3 linked regions of the Arabidopsis thaliana genome follow. The protein of the gene in region 1 interacts with the protein of each later gene in a pairwise test. Each region holds a gene or a part of one and is shown in the gene's direction. Other genes may lie near its edges.

Region 1 (7,572 bases):
TAGAGAGAGATAGAGAGAAGCACATGGAGAGCATAAACATAATTTAGGATAGAATTATGATATATTACTAGGTGCCACGAGTGTGTTTTGATCACCTGACTTTAATTACAAATGGATAGTAAATAAAAGGATCGGAGCTTATAACTTTCCAATAATTTACCCAAATTCTAGAACAACTTAATTATTAATTTAATATACACGAGTGCAATCACACAGAGAAAAGAAGAAGTAGGATCCTCTGGTTTCTGAGCAAAACATTGAATAATACCGAAAGACATCAAACTTTTAAACATAAAAATCGAAATTGTTAAATAGGATATCATCATTCTTAATTTACACTTTCTTTAGATGAAAAAAAATTCATTTAAAACATTACAGGATTGATAAATATAAACGAATTTAGTAAGAATAACTATTGATACTAATTAATTTGAATCTTCATGACCTTGTTTTGTCGGAAACATATGTAATTCAATAGCAAACTAATAGTGAAGCCCCACTTGGCTTTTTGGTCACACTGTCTAGACTCTCGTCAAAGTCCAAGTTTGTTCTAAGACAACCTTTACCCCTAAATCCCGGGGATGTCCTTTTGACACAAAAGAAAATTTAAATCACAACAAATTTATTAAATTTCATAAGAAAAAGTTTTGGCTTTTCATTAGCTGTTCAAAATTTTCTGAATATTTCCTTTGCCTTTTTTTGGAGAAATGTGAAGAAATTCTCCATTCATAAACCCAAGAAAGCCTCGATCACATGGAACTTGACTAAAAAGATTTCCACCCAAAAGTGTTCAATACTTCAATAGTGCAATCCCAATATCGTGCACAAAGCCAGTTGGGATTATCACATGTTATCTTAAATTATTTACCCATATTTTGAAAACACGTACAAAGAGATAGTTTATTTTTGCCTCTCTGAGTTTTTGTAGGGAAAATTCAGATTAACTTCAAATCTTTCAACCATTACGTAAGTTCTATATTAACAATAGCAAACGTCGACATTTATAAGTAAACAATTATCCCGTGCAACATAACAAAAATATTGAACTATAACCATTTAACCAATGGGATAGTATTTTTTGTATATTCATAAGTTATAATTTTTATGAATCTCAATATGTATATATATAAAATTCCTTTTCAAATTTGATGAACTAAAATAATGAGGCATAAATACCAAAAGTTTAGGTATTAATTAGTTGCTGACTTGCTGTGAATTATACTTTCATGTATTATTTTTGACTCATTATAAATACTCCAAAACATTTCGACAAAATAATATCAATTTTATACGAGAATATCTTCGTCTTTTAGATAAATATAATGAATATAGGTGTAGATAAATTATCATATTTAAGAAAAACCAATGTATAGTTGATTGAATTACATTATCACTAATTATAATTTCAGTGGTAATAATGCGTAAAAACAATTTATGTATACGGGAAAAATAATCAAATGTAAGGTTAGTCCCACATCAACTTCAAAATCTTAGTGGAGTAGTCAAGGGTCGTCTGATTCTTATATAGCTTAAGCTTGTCTTTAACCCCAATTCTTAAAAGGGATGACATATATTAATAAATTCACCCAATTAAGCATTTATTACTTTATTCTAATCATTACGTTTTAGAACTCTATGTAACATCCGGACACGAATTAAAGTTCTGTAAAATTTGCCTACAGTTTTGATGCAAACATTCCTACCTATACAATTGATTAGTTGTATAGTACCACTCTATATTTCGGCCTAATAATCCGATATAAATTTAGGTAAAATTAATCTTTGTTTTGATAAAACTTCAGTAGAGTTATATCTGGCGCACAACATTTTTGGTGTGTTTGGTAAATTGTATCGCTAGGATCGGAACGGTTGCACCAGAAGATGATGACTATATCGTGGTCCGACCACAATTGTATTACTGTTGTATTAGTCAAAGATATAATTCTAAAAGAGCCAAAATTAATATCATCATATATTATAGTATTAATAGTTTGACTCATTTATACTATGAAAAAAGAATTATAATTTTCATTCCCAATGCCATTAAGCAATGTGCAAAAAGCTTTACCAAGAATCGTCACATTTCCAACCCTTAATACAAGGAGTCCATCACACTTTTGTACCGTAGCCCATTCGGTTAAAAAGGCAAGGTATTCATTCAAATCTAATTAATTTGATTGTTGGTTTACGTGGCTTATATGACGTAGTATTTGTTTTTGCTACAAAAACTTGTGTAGTCATTTGCAGGATTTCTATTAATGCTCGTATATATTTACGTAAGTTTTTGCTAAAAAGGCTAATATATACTTGCATATTACGTACTTCACACCAAAAGTACTAACTTATCCATATATATGAGCATTAGCCTTTTATAACATCATCAAATTAGATATACTAAAGATTATCTAACAGACTAACACTTAACCAAAAAGATTTCAATACAGATCAAAGCTTATCACACCAAATCTATATGTTTGCCTTTATTGAGTTCTACTATAAGAATTTTTGTATATGTATTCTTCCCAAGACTAATTAGTTAATGAAAATATGTACTCTCTTATTAACTAGAACGTTCTATTAATTATACATTTTTTCGAACATGGAATACATAAAAATATCAATCTAAATTCCACAATGACTGAAACGTAAGTGTTCTTACTCTTTTGAAAAGTTTGATTAAAGTCTCTAAACTAAATAATCCAGAGTTTGATTAGAGCTCATAGTCATCTTCTAATTGTTCTGTTTTTCTTTGAACTCTTACTTAACAGTCGTGTTATCGTTGACTATGAGCAATTTTCTTGATTCATCAATAGAACTGTTGTCGGGTAAGGCATTAACTTCCTAATGCAATCATATATGAAAATAGACGAAGCTCCTATGTATATATATATAATCCTACAAAACTACAAACACAAAGAGACTAAGATTGTTGTTGACTTGTGCTTGTTTGCAACTTTGCATACAAGGACATCAATACAAAATTGTCCACTGAGCTATTTAATTAAAACCAAATTTATACGTACTTCCTAAGCATTTTAATTTTTGTTTAGTTCATCGTGTCTTTCTCTAAACCACTCCCATTGAAAAATCAGAACAAGGTGACAAAATTGTTCTCATTTCTATTTCCGCTTAAAATGCGGGTAACCATGTGATTTGATCAGGGGTTGTAGAAACTAACACTGATTTTGAAATATATTTATTTTTGAATTGTTGATATATTGTGTTAGAAAATAACATTATCGAACCTACCTCAGTGCACTCAAATTAATTGGACATCCTTATCGTAATTAGCAATGCATGCATATCATCTCAAGGATATATCAATTAAGTAGGGGATTTAACCTAAAGAAATATATCGATTATTTTTACGTAGACCCTTGACCTTTAGGCTAAGGTATGTAGGGTTATTATGCATGTTGCACGTGACCACTAAGTAGATTATTTGAGTTAATCAATTAGCTTGATCCCATTGAAATAGAAGATTCAAATAGGATGATGCAATATATACATCACAATTACTTTTCTTAAGTTACTCGGTACTTAGTATGTATTTATTACTTGTTCTTTCTTCTAACTCGAGATTGGTTACTGTGACATTCCAGATTTTGCTGTAGTTCCAATGATTCTTGGCCTCTGTTTTAGGCTTTCATAAGTAGCCATCCGTGTATATACATACATATATATACTGTACACACAGTTAAAATTAAGACTGTTTTAAAAAAAGAAACCCTTAATAATAATCAGTCAATTAAGCTGTTTAAAATTTGTATGAATTTATTTCAGCTGGTTAAGCCATATAAAAATCCAACTAATGTGTCAGCGTTTTTTTTTTTGTTTTTTTTGTCGTTGATGCAAAATATAATATCTTTGGAAATATAATAAAAGAAACAAAACAAAAGATGGTCTACTAAAAGCAGTTGAATCAAAAGTGAAGTCTCTCTATCTTCTCTCTCTATCAAGCTCATTGTCTCTCTATTTATAACAACACTTCACTTCCATTCTCAAACAGCACCATCATCTTTAGACAGAAGCAAAGCCAAAAAAAAACTTACTCATCATAAGATATCTTTAACCAAAACCCTAAAAGAAACCTCCTTTCAAAAAAACCATTTCTTCATCATCATGTCAACCTCCAAAACCCTAGACCATAATAAACCATTTGAAACATCCCAAACGCAAATGGGTTTTGCTCTGATCCACCAAAACACATCCGCCAACACAACCACCACCACCACAACCGGCGAGAGACGAGGCCGGAGATCAAAGCAAGCGGAGCCAGGGAGGTTCCTAGGAGTCCGGAGACGTCCATGGGGTCGTTACGCAGCCGAGATAAGAGATCCAACCACCAAAGAACGTCACTGGCTAGGCACTTTCGACACAGCTCACGAAGCTGCTCTTGCCTACGATAGAGCTGCTCTTTCAATGAGAGGTACTCAAGCTCGAACCAACTTCGTCTACACTCCAACTGATGTCCACACCATCCTCACAAACCCTAATCTCCACTCTCTCATTGTCTCTCCTTACAATAACAACCAATCTTTCTTACCAAACTCTTCTCCACAGTTTGTCATCGATCATCATCCTCATTATCAAAACTATCATCAACCACAACAACCTAAACACACTCTCCCCCAAACTGTCTTACCCGCGGCTTCTTTCAAAACGCCAGTTCGTCATCAAAGCGTGGATATTCAAGCGTTTGGTAATAGTCCTCAAAACTCATCTTCTAACGGCTCGTTATCTTCTTCACTAGACGAAGAAAACAACTTCTTCTTCTCTTTAACAAGCGAAGAACATAATAAGTCCAATAACAACTCGGGTTACTTGGATTGCATTGTCCCAAACCACTGCCTTAAACCACCTCCGGAGGCCACCACCACCCAAAATCAAGCCGGAGCTAGTTTCACAACTCCGGTAGCAAGCAAAGCCTCTGAACCATATGGAGGGTTTAGTAATAGCTACTTCGAAGATGGTGAGATGATGATGATGAATCATCATGAGTTTGGTTCGTGTGATCTCTCTGCCATGATCACGAACTATGGTGCTGCTGCCGCTTCAATGTCAATGGAAGATTACGGGATGATGGAGCCGCAAGATTTATCTTCTTCTTCTATCGCTGCTTTTGGAGATGTCGTTGCAGACACTACAGGCTTCTACTCAGTCTTTTAGAACATTCTATATTATATATGTTTTTTATATATGCAATAATATTATTAGTATTTACGTTATTCGATGGTCGTTTGATTGTTGTTGTTAACTATATGTTATCGACTTTATTATATAAATCCTGCTTATTGTTTCATGCATCATAAGGTTACCTTACCTTGAAGTTTTGATTTGTTTTTTCTTTAATTTGTATTATGGTTTTGATTAGCAAAAAGGGATAATCCGAGTTGTATTAAAGACCACTTTTTGTCCATGCTACTTCGACACACTCATTATGTATATTTTATAAGTGTGCTATATTATAATAATAATGAAATCAAATGACTTGCTCCAAACGGATAAATGACTAGGATCGGAGTGAACAACTAATATATCACATGTAATATTAGGATTATAAGATCAGATGCAAATACCCCATTTTTCTATTTTTGATCAGTATGTGCTCAGATATTATGATTATTTTATGACAGTTATAAATTTTGACGTTAGTTTGAATTATAACATAATTGAGAGTCTAAGTTATAAAATTTAAAATTTAAAATTAGTGAATGTGAGATGGACTTTTAGTGAAGTAGCATGATGGTGTTTTTGGTCGTTAAACATGTGTTTTGGTCATGACTTGTTTGGTATTTCATTGCACAATCACTGTTTCATGTCTCCCTCCTTTTGCCTATATTTTGCCTTAACTTTTGTCTACAACAACTCAACATCACAACTCTTTATTTCATTTTTAAATCTGTTTAAGGTTTTTGACTTTCTTTCATAGAACTCAATTAGTGCCTTCTCCAATGTTGATCAACTATACACTTTTTTTGTTAACTCAACAAAGATCCAATCCTGTTATACTAGTCAAACATATATACGTTGGGAATTCATCATATATATATATGCTTCACAATTTGTCTAGCTTCAAATTAAATAACTTCCAAATAGTTACTGAAATTTGTATTGTTAATTATCTGTTTTGCATGCGTCAATATATATAACGATTTAGGCAAAATGTTCATTTTACTATAAGAAAAAAATAAATTAACTCGATAAAGACTGTAGAGTATGTGAAAAATATTTTAAAACAATCGATATTTTAATTTTAAAAAGAATTAAACAATCGATTAATATCTCCACAACTATGTGAAGTCTACTGTAACTCGTATATAAAGACATGTATATCTTTAATCTTTAAACAGTCTTAATTATGGTAGATCTAAGTAGTAACTCAGAGAAAAAGCATTTAATGATTAGGAGTAGTTTTTATTGGGTTGTTGAGAACTTTAGTTGTGATGTTTTCAGTGAACAAACTCATGATTATGGTTTTTCTGTTGTTTGAGTAAAACTAGACGCAACGAACAAACCACACACATGCACATGTTATATCACCAACACAAAGAACCAAGTACGAGAATTACTGACTACTACTTCCACATTAACAGTAGTTTTTTTTTTTTTTTAACTTCTTTTTCATTTATATTTACGTTTGTATCTCATGATCAACGTCGTACGGAATGGAATGTAGAACAAAAAAAGAAACGTGACCCTAAGATCTGTTCTGTTCTGCTTTCTGTTTCGTCAGGCTCTTCCACTTCTTGTTACTCTTCCAAACAAATCTTTAGAATCGGATTGCTTCAAACGAATATTGAGGTTGCGTTTACTGTATAACATGTTGTACTTTTCTATTAAAAAAAAGAAAATACTTTGACATGTATACATGAAAACATCCGCAAGCATAAGTCTATAAAAATTGGACTATTAATTAGTTAATTCCCATATTCCATAAAGTTTTAAAAATAAACAGGGGATTTTTGTGAATATATAAGGCCATTTATTAATCATCGTTTCCAAAAAGAAAAAGAAGAACAAAAGACAGAGAGATGGCCGTATGAAGGAATAATATGAACATGGTAAGAGAGACCTAAGAGGAGAGACATGACATAGAAGAGTAGAGAGAACTCCTTTCGTCTATCTCTCTGCTTTGCTTTCTGTTGTTGTCTCTCCACCCAAAAAATATCCTTTTTATGTTCCTGAGTTCATGAAAGTTTGATGAAAAGAAGAAGAGAGATATAGAGAGAATAAGAGAGATAATAATCTAAGAAGAATAGAGAGAGATTCTCTTCTCTCCTTTAAGATTTGTCTCTTTAACTTGAAGTCTTAGCCTCATTGCTAGCTGAATCACCTTTATTGGTCTCAGCAGGCTCGGGATGGCTCACATCACTGGTCATAGAAGAGACTCCAGCAGCCACAGTTTCTGAGCCACCAGTTGTTGTTGTTATAGGTTCAATAGAGCTGGAAGAGATAAGCTCAGTGCATTGGTCAGATGAGGATGATGGAGCTAATGTGCCGAGCGAGGAGGGGTAAGGTGCGACGGGCATGTCCGTGAGTGAAGAAGGGGATGGGCTGTAGCTTAGTGAA
Region 2 (7,841 bases), on another chromosome or scaffold:
AATTGGATTAATGAAAATTGAAAACTACTATTTCATGGAAACTTCCTACTGTTGTTTTTCTTCATTACTTGATTAATTTTTCATTTACTATTTCCGCAAGCAAAGGAACCACTTCTTTGAATCTGTCACTCCCAGCTTGAAGTGATCTGTTCCTAAGAATTTAACTATTTGATTAAACATTTCAGATTTCTATTTAAAAACATAATTTGATAGGAGAAATAGTATTAATTTTGGGTTATGTTAGTATTAATTATTGAAGTAGTGATAGATCGGTTAGTAGTACCTAACGAAGCTAATCCTTAAGTGGCTTGTCGACTTTGATTGGTTGGCACTCACACTTCCCTCCACGCTTAAATTATTTTTATAATTCTGTATTATTTCGTTTTCACGAGTTTTACGAGTCTTTTAATAATTAATTAATTGTATAATTTGTTACGATAAATATCTTACACGTCTTAATCGATCCCAGTTCTTATGTATCTTCTAAGAAAAAGAGTAGTTATACATTCCGAGAAAAATATGGATATTGGGTATTTTCTGAATTAAATGCCGGGAAAATATTGTTTTTTTGGTGGCACAAAAAATTGACTTATAATTATTCTTTATAACTATATTGTAGTATCTGATGGTTAAGAATTTTTGGAATTATTTTAAGATTTGTTTTTTTCTTGTCAACCGATTTTTATTTAGAGTTCAGAAAACTCATCCCTTAAAAATGTTGTTTATATATGTGATATTATGCGGTTCGGTATAAACTTTTCGTCAAATTAAGATTTGGCTTTGAAAAGACAAAAGCAAAAATTTTAAATCTAAAATGGTGTGGGAAAAAATAATAATAATACCTTGCTAAATAAGACGGAAAATATGTCGTGCAGCTTACTGCTTATACTTACATCTTACATTACCTATTAGGCTATAACCTAATGCTTGTGTTATAAGTCTGTAAGATTTGGTCATTCATTCTCTTTGTACTATTGTCTTCTTATATTGCTAGAAACTTAGAAACTAAAGAATTTCACCAATTTTTGTGGGCATAGTATATAGCTTATTAGCTTGTAATAAGGCCTAATAAGGCCCTCGAGCGTTACAATAACATCCAAATTAGTTTTGGCATGGTACCGTTAAAGTGGTGTTAAACTATTAATTTACCAAAGACTCATTGTTTGGACTTTGGACCATACGAAAAATGCAGTAGAGCCCATAGTGACATAGTGTACCGGCTCTTATAGCTGAGAAATTATATCCCAATTAACAGCCCAGTATTTAATCATTTAGAACTCAACGTGAAAGAGGACATGTTAAAGCCCAACACAAGTCCATAGACTCATGAAATACAAGTCCACAAACCCACCTTATCTAACCATGTAATTAGGTTTTATAGCATAATATAATGAACATCAATGAATGTAAGTAGGAATGCAATTTGTGCAACCTCTATTTGACAATTTCTTTCATTTCTTCTCAATAGTTTACAAGTCTCATACATTGTTTTTGTTCTGTTTTCAAAGAAATAGTTTTGGTTTTTCTATTGTATGCAATATGACTTCCCACTGTACATCATAAACATTGAAGTATATATAATATTTTTTCTATTGTGTTCTGCCGTACGTCTAACTTATAATCTATTTTATAACATTGATTTTACTAAATATATAAAGGTAAAATCTATCTTGTTGCATTCACTTCAGAAAATAAATTTTTGGAAGAAGGGCCACAAAACAATACTAATTTTCAAAAATTGAGATTGAAATTATGTTATAAGATTGATATTTAAAATAGGAATACCGTTGTAAAAATAAGTAGTTGATTTATCGAACATCTAAGCATCTGTTTAACACCAATTTTATGTCGTTGTTGATCAAAACTGTCGCGTTCAAGTGTCTTGTGTCGACTAATTAAGCAAATGAACTTTAGGTACCAGAAGTTCAACGAAACAATAATGCATTTTTAAATTACTAATGGACTGAAGTAATTGGGAATAAAGAAATATAAAGAGACGGCGGCATTCAGTGGAAAATTTGCCTAATTGGAGTGTAGGTAAGCACACCACGTAAGCCATGAACGGCGCCGTTTCACCGCATTGCTATAGGAAAGTAGAAGAAGACACTTTGACTTATTAATATCATTTTGTTGTAGATCTTCTGTTCATCATATATTTGATTTTGTTACTAGCTAATGTAAAGGAGAAAAGAAATGTTTGATTTGGTCACACACGTGAGACAGCATCGTAGGCAAAAAAACGCCTCTATCTTTCTTCTAAAACATTTTTCATATTAAATTATCAAAACCCTTAAGGTTGATTTAAGGGTCAGGTAGTGGATTTGTTTCGTTGAAGGGTCAGCTTAGCCTTAACCCTAAACAAAACAATCTCATTGGTTTCATAAATAAATTGTTTACAAAGTATACGTACTGCATGAACGAATGAACCATATCTATATTTATAAAACTCATAGAGACCAATAGTTTAAGAGAGGCACTTATATAGCTCAACAAATAATAGCGAACTAGAGAGAATATGATCTAATTAGTTATAAATCTCAATTTTGAAATTGAAGTGCGTTATTTCATTTGAGAATCTATGTGTTTTTTTTGTTGTTGTTAGATGAGAAGCTAGGTTTTTTTCTTTTCTTTACACCGATAATCGATAATATATGTTAATCACACTGATTTTTGTTTGAGACATGAAGATTCGAAAAATTTGTCAACGAATAAACACTGGATAGATAGAATTGAGATCTGCCATCAAATAATCGAGATCGTTCATGCATGACGCAAACATTTATATAGAAATGAAGCAAGTAAAGAATATGAAAAAGAATAGAAATGAGAAATTTATAAAGAAAGAAAAAAAGAACCAATGGTTGAGGAGGCAACTATTCGCGGGGACACGGAGCCGTTCGCACCCATCACCTTGGAATCTCTCTTTCTTCCTCTCTCCTCATCACCAACTAGTCAACAACCACACACCATTTTTAACTTTCATAATTAAACCTAACATAACATTTTTTTTTGTATAAACTATAGCATAAATTAAATTCAGTTAATGATAAAATAAATATATTTTGTAGCAATCATTCTATTTTGTAATTTGGTAGGGCTCTTTAAACTTTGATTATTATCCAATTTTTATTAAAATATAATAAAATCTCAAAGCCATGACCCATTCCTTCACTCAAGTATCAATGTCTATTGTCTATAAATATTACATAACTCTTCTTCTTCAACCAAACATTGAAACACTTTGTCCCACTCTCTCTCTTTCTCTTTCTTGTACCAAAAGCTTTTTGAATCTCCAAGATTATAGCAAAACCAAAGATAAAATACTAACTTAAAAGATTTCTGAAAATAATGAGTTGCAATGGTTGTCGAGTTCTACGAAAAGGTTGCAGTGAGAATTGCATCCTCCGTCCATGTATTCAATGGATCGAATCACCTGAAGCTCAAGGCCACGCCACCGTCTTCGTCGCTAAGTTCTTCGGCCGTGCCGGTTTAATGTCTTTCATCTCCGCCGTACCGGAATCTCAATGCCCTGGTACTTAAAAACAAAAACCTCTCGGTCCTTTAGATCTTCGTCTAAACGTTGTCGTTTTGGTTTCTGATGGTAAGGGTATTTGGTCTTTTTACAGCTTTGTTTCAGTCTTTGCTATACGAAGCTTGTGGGAGAACTGTGAATCCGGTGAACGGAGCCGTCGGATTGTTGTGGACGGGGAATTGGAATGTTTGTCAAGCGGCGGTTGAGACGGTGCTTCGTGGTGGTTCTTTAAAACCAATACCGGAGCTTCTTAACGGCGGTGGATTCGCCGGGTTTCCGTCTCCTACTTCCGACGAAGCTTCGGAGATCTGTACGGAAATGTTGAATCTACGAAAAGCTGATGATTCCGGTGATCGGAACATTTATCATCACTGCCGATTCTCAAGCTCTAGATCTAGATCAAGATCAACAGCTTCTCCGCCGAAACGGAAACGATTATCGTCGGAACAACAACCTTCGTCGGAGCTTGATCTCTCTCTTATTCCTATTTATCCGATTAAAACCTTGCCGTTTAAGGAAGATACACCGTCGATGTACTCGGAGGAGTCTGTTACCACGGTTTCGTTTCAAAACAACAACGCCGGTGATCGGTACGTACGCTGCGGCGGAGGAGGAGGAGGAGCAACGACAAAGTTGCTCAATCTCTTCGCTTGAACGGCGTCGTTTTTGTTATGAGGGTTAAAAATGTAATTTCGAGTAACTTTTTGTTGTGGCCTTTTTTGGATTAATAGCCCTTAATATTTTGTGAAATGTAGCAAATTACGTGATTTATTTCTCTCTTTAATTATGAGAAATTATCCAAAGTAATAGAGAATAATGATATAATTCGTCGGTGGTGTACTATTTTATTTTTAGTTCATAATCAATTAATCATCATTCTCATCGAATTCAAATTAAAAGATAACAATGATAATGTGTACGATAAATCAATACTTATTAGCTACTAAATTATTTGTTTTTATCGACATATTCAACATTAATAATAATAATCACGAATCGGAGTCAAAATATACATCTCTCCAAATCCAAAGCACCGGCAAAGTCTTCGCACCCAACATATTTCGATTCTTTAAGGACCAACATGTTGTAATGTACACACAATCATACACAACTTGCTATTTTGATAATCATCTTGATTACTACTCGCAAAACAAAATATTAGCATTTATTATCTCCAGGTTTATTGTCTTTCGATACTACATTTGTTATTCAATGGTTTAATGATACCTAGTAATAGTATAACACAATAGTACGTATTCCTCGAGATGTGATGATCTTTTTGTGATATCTCAAATTATCCTATACTAGTACTGCAACGGTCTTCTTCGCAACACTCTCAATGGCATATGTACATCTTCATGTGTTTCTTTCTATGTTTAAGATTAGTCTACCACACATTCTCCGGATGAATACAAACTCTAAAAAAGATTAAACAAGGTGCATTACATAATATAAGTAATTGTATGTATAGAGTAGATATGCATTATATAATGCATGTAGTTGGGTTGAACCCAAAAAGTTGGGGTTATAAAGGGAAAGCTTTTGGGGGAGGCGGCTTTTGGACGACGCAAAGAGCCGTTTATGTCACACTTCATACCTTCGTGGAATCTTCAAAAGCACTCTTTTTTTATTGTTCTTCTATTCTTCTTCACATTTTGTTTAATAAAAACAACAAGGTATTGTTGCTCTATGGATGATGGCGTAGAAACAATGAAATTGACCAATAACATGTTTGCTTTTGAAACGTTGAAATGAGAATGGATTGTTGTTGGAACAGAAGAAGTGATTTGAAGATCTTATGAAGTGGGACATATTTTAAATATACTTTCGACCAGCCAGTCACTAGTGGGCAAACAATTGCTTGTGGTCCACGTCACTCTCCTTTCCTTTTCCGACCACCGGACTCTTTATGTTATTTTTGAAAAATATAAGTTTTTAGTTCTGACCATTTCAAGTTTTATCAACAACCGGGTATCATCATTCGTTCAATCTCGTCTGTTTTTTACATCTAATTAGTGTCTAATCATGAGTTACAAAATTTATGGAGCTAAATTTCTTTTTCTACTTTTAAACTATGGAGCTAACTATACTAGACGAATTCGCTTTTTAAAAATTTGGGGAATACAATATAACAATATGGATGGATAAACATGAATCCATCAAGTATAATGAGAATAAAATAACATTAGCAAGATTCGTGTTTAATGCCAAAAGCCACGAGCAGCCGCAGTTTCTTATGGGCCCAATACTTTCATCACCTTCTCCACTTAAGTCGGTGTGTGTGAGTCCACTTGATGTTTTCTTAAACTTTTCTTCCGAAAACGAACAAAACTTTAGTTAATTATTTGTCTTTGGTATGAATGTCAAGAAAATGGTAGTTAAATTAGTAAGGAATAACTAAACTTAAATAATCAAGTTGAAAATTAAAACCCTAGGTCTCACATGATTATGAAACATTTACTACTTTGTGTATTCCAAAAAACATGGTGATCAATAAAAAAATTTGAAGGTGAAAACAAAACGACGTGGATTATCAAATGATCACAAGAAAACTAGTCAATCTAAATAGAATATCAAATAACGACAAAAAAATAGAATATCAAATAATTAATTAAGACCATCAAAATCAAGTTGGTATTCATAATGATTCTGGATAAAATACAGAATTAAGTAAGTGATTTTTTTTGGATATATATATATATATATATATGATTTTTTTTTGGTGTGTTAATTCATAATGATTCTGGATAAAATACAGAATTAAGTAAGTGATTTGTTTTTGGATATATATATATATATATATGATTTTTTTTTTGGTGTGTTATATATATATGAATGATAATAGTAAAGTAATATTTTCTCATTATTTCAATTTTTATTTTTGCAAAAGTTATATATACATGATTATCTGACTCTCAAATAAAACAAAAACTAGGGTTAGCTGAATATTAGCTACCAAATAACATTTTATCAACCGGTAAACACACATTAGACCATAACATCTTGATATGTAACCGTACATAGTTCTTGATGAATTTTTTCGTACATTACTATACAAAGTGATATATTAATTTTCTGAAACTCAAAAAACGTTATGCTTAAAGCTGCATATATTGTAACCAAAGACTTTTTAATAAATTTTACATTACAATGATTCAAAAAAAGAAAAAAAAGTGATATATTAATTTCTACAACACATATTTGGAAATTTTTGTAACTGAATGTCATCATGTCCCGATTATCCCCAGAGATTTTGTATATGAACCTCTTTAAAAAACAATCTCAATTGTTTGTTTCTTGCTTTTAGTTTTCTCAAGTCTTTTGCTATTCAAGAGTTTATCGAATAAGTTTCTTGTGGATCAATATCACTATCTAATTTCTAACGATTGATTTTGTTATTAATATAGATGATCATAAGACTTAGCTTGGTCTACATTTTTTGTGGTTCTTAGGGTTTTGTGTGATCATTCTTCGAGTAAGGTGAGGACCCAAGAGCCATCTTGCCCCTTCAAATCTTTTGTTGGCCGTACATTCATTTACACTTAATTAGGATATTCTTTTCTTAAAGCAAAAATAGAGTTTAACAAATAAAATATAAAAATAAGATAACTCTAGTCTTTGATCTTTATCGACTCTTCTAATGTCGGATTGATTCAAGTTTTATAGTATGATTATTAATGAGAACGTCACTAAGATAATCAAGTGCTAATCATAATCCTTTGCGAAGGCTGTTTTTTGTAAATTTAAACGAGACTTTGGAGGAGCTAGAAAGGATCAGTGTTGAAGATTTGGGAGAGATCGCGACAAGGACGTGAAATGGATGCGACACGTGACTTTCACGTGACTGGTTCCCTCATCGCTGGAACACATAATCCACTCTTTCACCTATTGGGTCCTACAATAGCTTCTTATCTTTGACTAAATCATTTTTCATGTTGTAATAAGTAACTAGAAGATGTGCATATACGATACGAATTAGAGAATACATACGTCCTGATAAAAATAGAATATATATATATATATATACCGACAAATTAATCATTTTGTATTCTTGGAAAAATTATTTCTTCTGCTCACCTAACATTATTAACCACTCAATAACCGTTAATATAGTTTGTCAATTCTCATTGAGCTGAATAACTAGTTAAATACATAGTCTCTAAATGTGTATAGTGTAAATTGGACCAATCAGGAAAATGAGATCTAATTATTCATTCCTTTTCCATAGGGTCCTTATTTCTTCGTCTTTTTTTTTTTTTTTTAATAATCCTTTATCAAATGTACATGATTGTAAACTGTAATATTTTCT
Region 3 (7,464 bases), on another chromosome or scaffold:
ACTATTAGGTATAATGATTTAAGAGGTGGGTCCAATAGCTTTTCCTTTGTTTCTTTTCACTAGTTCAAGATCAAATTTATGGGGAGTATTATTAGTTCTTTGACCTTTCCTTTTTAGAGAGTCCTTCTTTGACCCATCAAGATTCAAGAGCAGAATCTCTCTCTTGCTAAGCTAAGAAAACATGAAAAGTGGAATAAATATTTTTAAAAGAAAGAAGAGTATAGCTCATACATGTGTATGCATTGGTTAATTGGGGGTATGTTGCTTTGATGATTGTAGGAAGGTACTTCACTTGAATAGAGGGGATTCTTCCCTTTATCTTTTGGGTTCTTCACAATCTAATCTATTAGCTTTTCTTTTCATGCAGTATTTTTCTTGTTACTCTAAACCTCTTCCAAATCTTCTTGGATATTCTCATATCATTATGATTCCAAATTCGTTTCTCTTTATTAAAAACCCCAATAAGAATTGGATTCTCATGGTTTTCGATACGTTATTCAGCCATACGACGACTATGAGTGATTCTAGTGAGACTAATTGAGGATTTTTTTTTTCTATTTTTACATGAGAATACTGAAGATGTTTAATTTATCTCTGATTAAATATAATCCATTATACAGCATATTACGATAAGTAACACCGCCTCGTTTGTTTTTGTTTAGCTAGTAAACCGAAATTTTGATCGAATACATTATATAAAAATTCATGTAAAATACTCTACAATATAATACTCTCTTGTAGTCTGAATGTAATTATAAAAAAATGTTTTGTGTAGACATTAGGTAAACCATCTAGAGTATTAGAAACAAAATAATGTAAGTAAACGTAAAACTAAGACGATTTCATGACTAAATTATTTTGAAGGTCGAACCAACCAATCTTAAATACACATATATGAAGAAATATATGTTTTCGAACAAATGGCAATCAAGAAAATGCTTTTTGTGTGTTAATGAAATATAAGGTTGACACATCAATATCGCGTTGATATTCTCATTGTAGATTGTTGGTTATGTAGGGAGACTAATAATGCGAACTAGAAAAAGATATGTGAGTCAACTAAGGTTAGTGTTGATATAGCAACTCTCTTATGTTTTTAAATTTGCCATAAAATAGGTTGTTAGTCCAAATAGCCGATATAAACATCAATAGAAGAGTAATTAATCGTTCCATCGGAACATCCGATGAAATTGGAACGAGACCTATACAGAAGAAAACAAAAGAGCAACTAATCATCTTGATCACATGCCCAATATGCATTTAAGTAAATTGGAGAGAATGATATAGAAAAACAAGACATTATCTACAACTACAAGATATCAAAGCACTCGGTTAACCGCGTCCCTGTGAAGTGTTAGTTATCAGTACATGAATTGTGATTTCAGCATCTTGGTCCTTTTTTTTTTGGACAACCGTCATCTTTTTCTTGATCGGTTTTTATAACGTACAAACATATACTATTTCAACAGTTTTCTTTTAATTTTTTTTTTTTTTGAATATACACTTTCTTTCTTTTATTTGTTTGATTACAAAATTTTCAAAAAATAGTGTTCGGCAAAAAAAAAAATTAGATCGGCCAATGCATTATATCCCCTAGCGTAAGCTCTTTTTCAACCAATCGAGAGTCCATGTTTTCAATAAAAATAGGGTTTTATTAGTAACAGTAGTTAAAGCATTTAACATACGTAATCCCAAAAAAATAAAATAATTCTGTATAGGGACGAAGACTAGTATTCGTTGACGACAAGAGTAGAGTAGACTCTAGCTAGCTGCAAGTTTTGAAGAAATCTAATAACCAAATCTAAGTCATTTTACTTACATCATCATGGATCATCATTAACCACATGAGGCTGAGCAGATATCGAACGTGTGATTGCGATGTGGAGAAGTAAAGGACGAGGCCACGCGCAACTGAGCAGGAGCGCGTGAGATTCAGGGTTTTAGGGCAGAGATACGGAAAGAGACAGAGGTTTTATAGCATTATATTGAAAGAGAACAAATAAAAATAAAAATATGAGCCTCGTGATCGGAGATTTTTGCAGTGATGACTGTACTCTTCTTCCTCTTCTCTCCCCCTTGTCACGTGGGCTAAATTTTGACCACCCTTCTTCAATGACCATCAACATCGCATCACACTCTCTCCTTCTTCTTCTTCTACGTTTTTTATTTTCTGTTAAATTTCCTCCACAAAATCGATAATTTCAATTTTTTCATACAATATCATAGTTCTAGTAAAGTAAACATTCGTGTGTGAGTGACATAATAATTGCTTCAAAAAGAAATAACGAATTAATAAGAGTTGTGTGCTTGATGGTCCAAAAGTCGTATGTTTTTCACCATCACAATAAGATTTACCATATCTACTTAAACCAAACTTCAATCTATGATATTTGGAAGCTAGCAATGAATGATTTTGTTTTAGCATATGTTACCGAGCCTATTCATCTTTAGATTGAAAGTTTTGTGTCCAACAACTAGCAAACCCTTCGCTTTTTAAACCAAGATCAGTTTTTCTACATAGTTTCGACTTTTTGTTATTTTACTTCCCATCATATTTTGTTTTATTTACTACTGACATTTTCATAATGTACGGTACATTTTCATATATTAGCATCCTTATCTAAAAGCTAATCAACTCCATAACGTACTTGAAATAGGGATATTTTAGTTGAATTATTCAAAACAATCACACAGTGACACAGACTCTATGTAGACCAAGCATGTGTTATGTAATTAGAAAAAATAAACTGTGATTAAAATATCTTTTAACTTGTTAACTTGGCTGCCTAAAGAAACTTGATACTGTATCATCGTTCATCGTATTTTGTAATTAATAAAACATAAAAAAGCAAGGAAAACCCATTTGAGTAAATGATATATTAATATTACTTCGTAAAAAGCTGCGTCCCCACATATTCTATTGATTTTAAATACTATTCGTATTAATATAAACCTGCATATAAGCGTACATATACATTTCTGATTCTATATATAGGTGTGAGACCTTCTTCTCCATTCTACACTTCACTCCAACGTGAAACCTGCAAACTGAACTTATCTCTTCATATTTTCTTTAGCTTCTCTTAATTTTACACTTAGGGTTTTCAAACCAGTAGAGAGAGAGAGAAGTGTGTAAGAGCGATGATGCAGACTCCGTACACTACTTCAACGCAGGGGCAATATTGTCATTCTTGTGGAATGTTCCACCACCATAGCCAAAGCTGCTGCTACAACAACAACAACAACTCCAACGCCGGTTCTTACTCGATGGTCTTCTCCATGCAAAACGGTGGCGTTTTCGAGCAGAACGGTGAGGACTATCATCACTCTTCCTCCCTCGTTGACTGCACTCTCTCTCTTGGAACTCCTTCTACGAGGCTTTGTGAGGAAGATGAGAAACGTAGACGCTCTACTTCATCTGGTGCTTCTTCTTGCATCTCCAACTTTTGGGACTTGATTCACACCAAAAACAACAACTCCAAAACGGCACCGTACAATAACGTTCCTTCTTTCTCCGCTAACAAGCCAAGTCGCGGTTGTTCCGGTGGTGGTGGTGGCGGAGGAGGCGGTGGCGGAGGTGACTCTCTTCTCGCTAGACGCTGTGCCAACTGTGACACTACTTCTACTCCACTATGGAGGAATGGTCCTAGAGGCCCTAAGGTGACTTATTTATTTTAATTTTTATTAAAATGCAACTTCTTTTAATCAACACATGAAATGAAGATTTACAATAACCAAAAAGACAGTTCATCCCTTTGTTTTGAATATTTGCCTATCTGTTTTTTCACTAAAACCAATAAATCCCTTTCTCTATAGTTTAATTTATTGAAAGAAACATTAAATAATGATTTTGATGGTTCAGTAAATTTACTTGAATATAAGTTTTAAAACAGATATTTCAATAAAAGACATTAATTTATTTTCTTTTCGAATATTTTCATCACTATATAGAGATTTATGTATTGAACGAACATTAAATATAAGATATATTGATGGCTAATGATGATATGGATGGTTTTGGAATTTGCAGTCCCTATGCAACGCATGCGGCATTCGTTTCAAGAAGGAAGAGAGAAGAACTACTGCGGCTACAGGAAACACCGTCGTCGGAGCTGCACCGGTTCAAACCGACCAGTACGGGCATCACAACTCTGGCTACAATAATTACCATGCTGCCACTAATAACAACAATAATAATGGTACTCCGTGGGCTCATCACCACTCGACGCAGAGGGTTCCGTGTAATTATCCGGCAAATGAGATCAGGTTCATGGATGATTACGGCAGTGGAGTAGCAAACAACGTTGAATCCGACGGTGCTCACGGCGGTGTTCCGTTCCTTTCTTGGAGGCTTAATGTAGCGGATAGGGCAAGTCTTGTCCATGACTTTACCAGATGAAAGGAGAATAGAAAACGACGTTAGATTCTCTTAAAATTTCCATGTGGTTTAATTATGTCTAATTAAAAAAAAACCAAGAAAATATTTCTGAAAAAAATAGAAGTGTATATCGAGAGACGATGTTGATGTTTATTGATAGTGACGGTCTAACTTATGGTTTATCTATAAAGTACCGTTCTGGTCAATTTTTAAAATCATTTTCTAATATTTATTTTAAAAATATAACCTTCTTTTTATGGAAATCTTCTCTTCTCTAGTCTATAAAATAAACACTATAGTTAGATTCTTCTATTGATTACACAGTGATCGTCATAAAACATTACAGATGTAATCAAAACATTAGAAAGAAAAACAAAAAATGAAAGATGTGCATAAGAGAAAACACACAGACCAAAAATATAGACATAGGATATAACTCTTTTAATGTATATAGTTTAGAGTTGAACGGAGAAGTTTCAGTTCCACCTGAGTCCCTGAATTTCACAACTGAGACTTTAATAATAATAATATTCTTACTATTGGTTAATAAAAAATAGAGAAAATAAAATAAAAATTAGGGTGTTTGGTAGTGAAGATTGAAATCTGATCGTCGAATTGGGGAGAGATTAGATTCTGATCGTACCAATGTGGGTTTTGGTACTGTTGTGTTTTCAGTTTTGGATCAGAGAGCATTGTAGTGATTTAATGAACATATATTTGTCGTATTATGCTCTGCTTCTTCCTCCTTTATATTTTGACCGTCGTTTTGTCCTTTACTCACTCCTCTCTTCTTGACCTTTTGTTCGTGTCAATATGTGCTCTCAAGAATATTGTTTTTCTTCCTTTTTAATTACTTACTTTTTCCGATTTTTTATTACTGAACCGATTCTGCAACATGTTTTGTACTAGTAACCAGCTTTTTAATCCATCTCTCTCTGCACGATCATATAAAATATACGTTATTTTTTTTCAATTCAGGCGTCGACAAAGAAATAACTGTTTTGTTGTACTTAACATGTTGGATCATATTTTTTTTACTGTAACAGGGCTTTTATTATGGGCTTATCGATTTTCATTAAGGCCCAATGAAGAATATCGTCGCGAGTGATAAAATTTCGAATTTCTGCAATTACTAACAATTAACAAACTCGGCCGTCGTCATGTCTCTCCGTAAAACCCTAACCGCCGTGAATCAATCTTCGTTACCGCCGGATTCTTTAATCTCCGCCGGTAATCTCACTGTTTCAGAGGTCTCTGGTTCATCTTCTAGAATCAGATTTCGTCCTCGTAAAATCAGGAAAGTTTCGTCAGATCCGTCGCCGAGGATCATTATCACCGCGTCTCCTCCTCTATCAACAAAATCGACTGTTGATATCGCTCTACGTCACTTACAAAGCTCCGATGAACTTCTCGGAGCATTAATCACAACGCACAACGATCCTCCACTGTTCGACTCAAGTAATACTCCGTTTCTCTCCTTAGCGAGATCAATCCTATACCAACAACTCGCGACGAAAGCAGCGAAATGTATCTACGATCGATTCATCTCTCTATTCAACGGTGGAGAAGCAGGTGTTGTTCCTGAATCTGTGATCTCACTCTCCGCCGTTGATCTTCGTAAGATCGGTGTCTCCGGGAGAAAAGCTAGTTACCTCCACGATCTAGCTGATAAATACAACAACGGTGTGCTTTCTGATGAATTGATTCTGAAAATGAGTGATGAAGAGTTGATTGATAGGTTAACTTTGGTTAAAGGAATTGGAGTGTGGACTGTTCATATGTTTATGATCTTCTCGTTGCATAGACCTGATGTGTTGCCTGTGGGAGATCTTGGTGTGAGGAAAGGTGTGAAAGATCTTTATGGTTTGAAAAATCTTCCAGGTCCATTGCAAATGGAGCAGCTTTGTGAGAAATGGCGTCCTTATAGGTCTGTTGGTTCATGGTACATGTGGAGACTAATCGAGTCTCGTAAGACCAAATAGCACCTGCCTGGTAATAGTTTAACAATACCTCTCTTTTTAGGTTGATAGTAACTAGAATTGTTATGTTACATAGACAAACTTGATTCTTTATAGAATATTTCATGCTTGACTTGGAAATTTGAACAGTTACATGATTAGAAAGGATAGGAGTATAACATTTGTTTGACATTAAGTTCTCTGGATTGGTTTTTGTTTGGAATGCTTTCTAGAAGTAGAAATCTCCCAAATCTTAAAACAAGAATCATAAAGTATTTATCTTTTCTTGATGTATCTTGTTTATCTAGCAATAGTATCAATCCTAGTAAGTAACATGACGATACTTTATCACTGAAGCTTCTATATCTGGTAGTTATCGTTGAAGTGTGATTTGTTGCAATCAATCATTTCAGTAATCGGGCAGTTAATATGATCCTGTGACGAAGAAGCTTTTCCATGCCCATCACTTCCTTTCCAAGTTTCACTTGCTGGTAATCTGAGTTATTTTGTGTCTGTAAATTATGGAGCACGTAAGAAAAATCCTTCTTGTATTTTAACTGTATTCCACGGATTATATTTCTGTGACTGTTGTAAACATGTATCATGTATGGGGTTTCATTTGACTTGGATATTGAGAAGCATGGCTTATTTACCAAGTCTTTTGTTTCTGTCTTGTACTGGGCTTGGCCCAATGTCTCATCCGGCCCAATTGATCAAGTGGTAGATAGCTTGGATCTGATTTTGCCAAGACAGATGTGAAATCAACCCTTGCTTTCTTTTAACTTAAAATAGTTATAGGAAGAAATTACTCTTATTCAGAGAGACGAATTTAAAAGTCTAAGATGTCACGCGTAACATTCAAACCTCTTAATAAAAGTTTAGTATATGGCTAATCTATTCCCGTTGATTGATTTCAATATTTGGTAAGAAATGAAGATGATCATAAAAGTGCTACACAGCTGTGGGAAACAAAGAATCTGAAAAATGAGACATGAGGCATGTGGAGATAAATAAAAGTGCAGGTTTTGTTGTGCTTATGTGGACCAGCTTTTCATTCTTTCACACTTTTAATTCTTCAACCCTCCCCACCAGAAAAATAATTTATCATGTCTTCTCTTTCAAGACTAT

What was found. Proteins that work in one complex are often made in the same cells at the same time.
Region 2: the proteins of PUCHI (region 1) and LBD38 interact in a two-hybrid assay, tested with the Arabidopsis thaliana proteins (one large-scale study listed by BioGRID).
Region 3: the proteins of PUCHI (region 1) and MNP interact in a two-hybrid assay, tested with the Arabidopsis thaliana proteins (one large-scale study listed by BioGRID).

The regions. Positions count from the first base shown.
Region 1 is NC_003076.8:6,162,456-6,170,027, reverse strand, and holds PUCHI (Integrase-type DNA-binding superfamily protein), read left to right. Parts: upstream 1-3,987; 5' UTR 3,988-4,122; coding exon 4,123-5,169; 3' UTR 5,170-5,502; downstream 5,503-7,572. Other genes in the region: AT5G18550 (Zinc finger C-x8-C-x5-C-x3-H type family protein), read right to left, coding at 7,299-7,572. UniProt on the Arabidopsis thaliana protein: Probably acts as a transcriptional activator. May be involved in the regulation of gene expression by stress factors and by components of stress signal transduction pathways.
Region 2 is NC_003074.8:18,511,117-18,518,957, forward strand, and holds LBD38 (LOB domain-containing protein 38), read left to right. Parts: upstream 1-3,149; 5' UTR 3,150-3,348; coding exon 3,349-3,532; intron 3,533-3,626; coding exon 3,627-4,186; 3' UTR 4,187-5,015; downstream 5,016-7,841.
Region 3 is NC_003074.8:18,907,971-18,915,434, forward strand, and holds MNP (GATA type zinc finger transcription factor family protein), read left to right. Parts: upstream 1-2,976; 5' UTR 2,977-3,141; coding exon 3,142-3,660; intron 3,661-4,030; coding exon 4,031-4,399; 3' UTR 4,400-4,638; downstream 4,639-7,464. Other genes in the region: AT3G50880 (DNA glycosylase superfamily protein), read left to right, coding at 5,539-6,360. UniProt on the Arabidopsis thaliana protein: Transcriptional factor that specifically binds 5'-GATA-3' or 5'-GAT-3' motifs within gene promoters (including its own promoter and GATA21 promoter), thus regulating the expression of genes mostly involved in hormone responses and floral organ specification (including genes regulating hormones responses).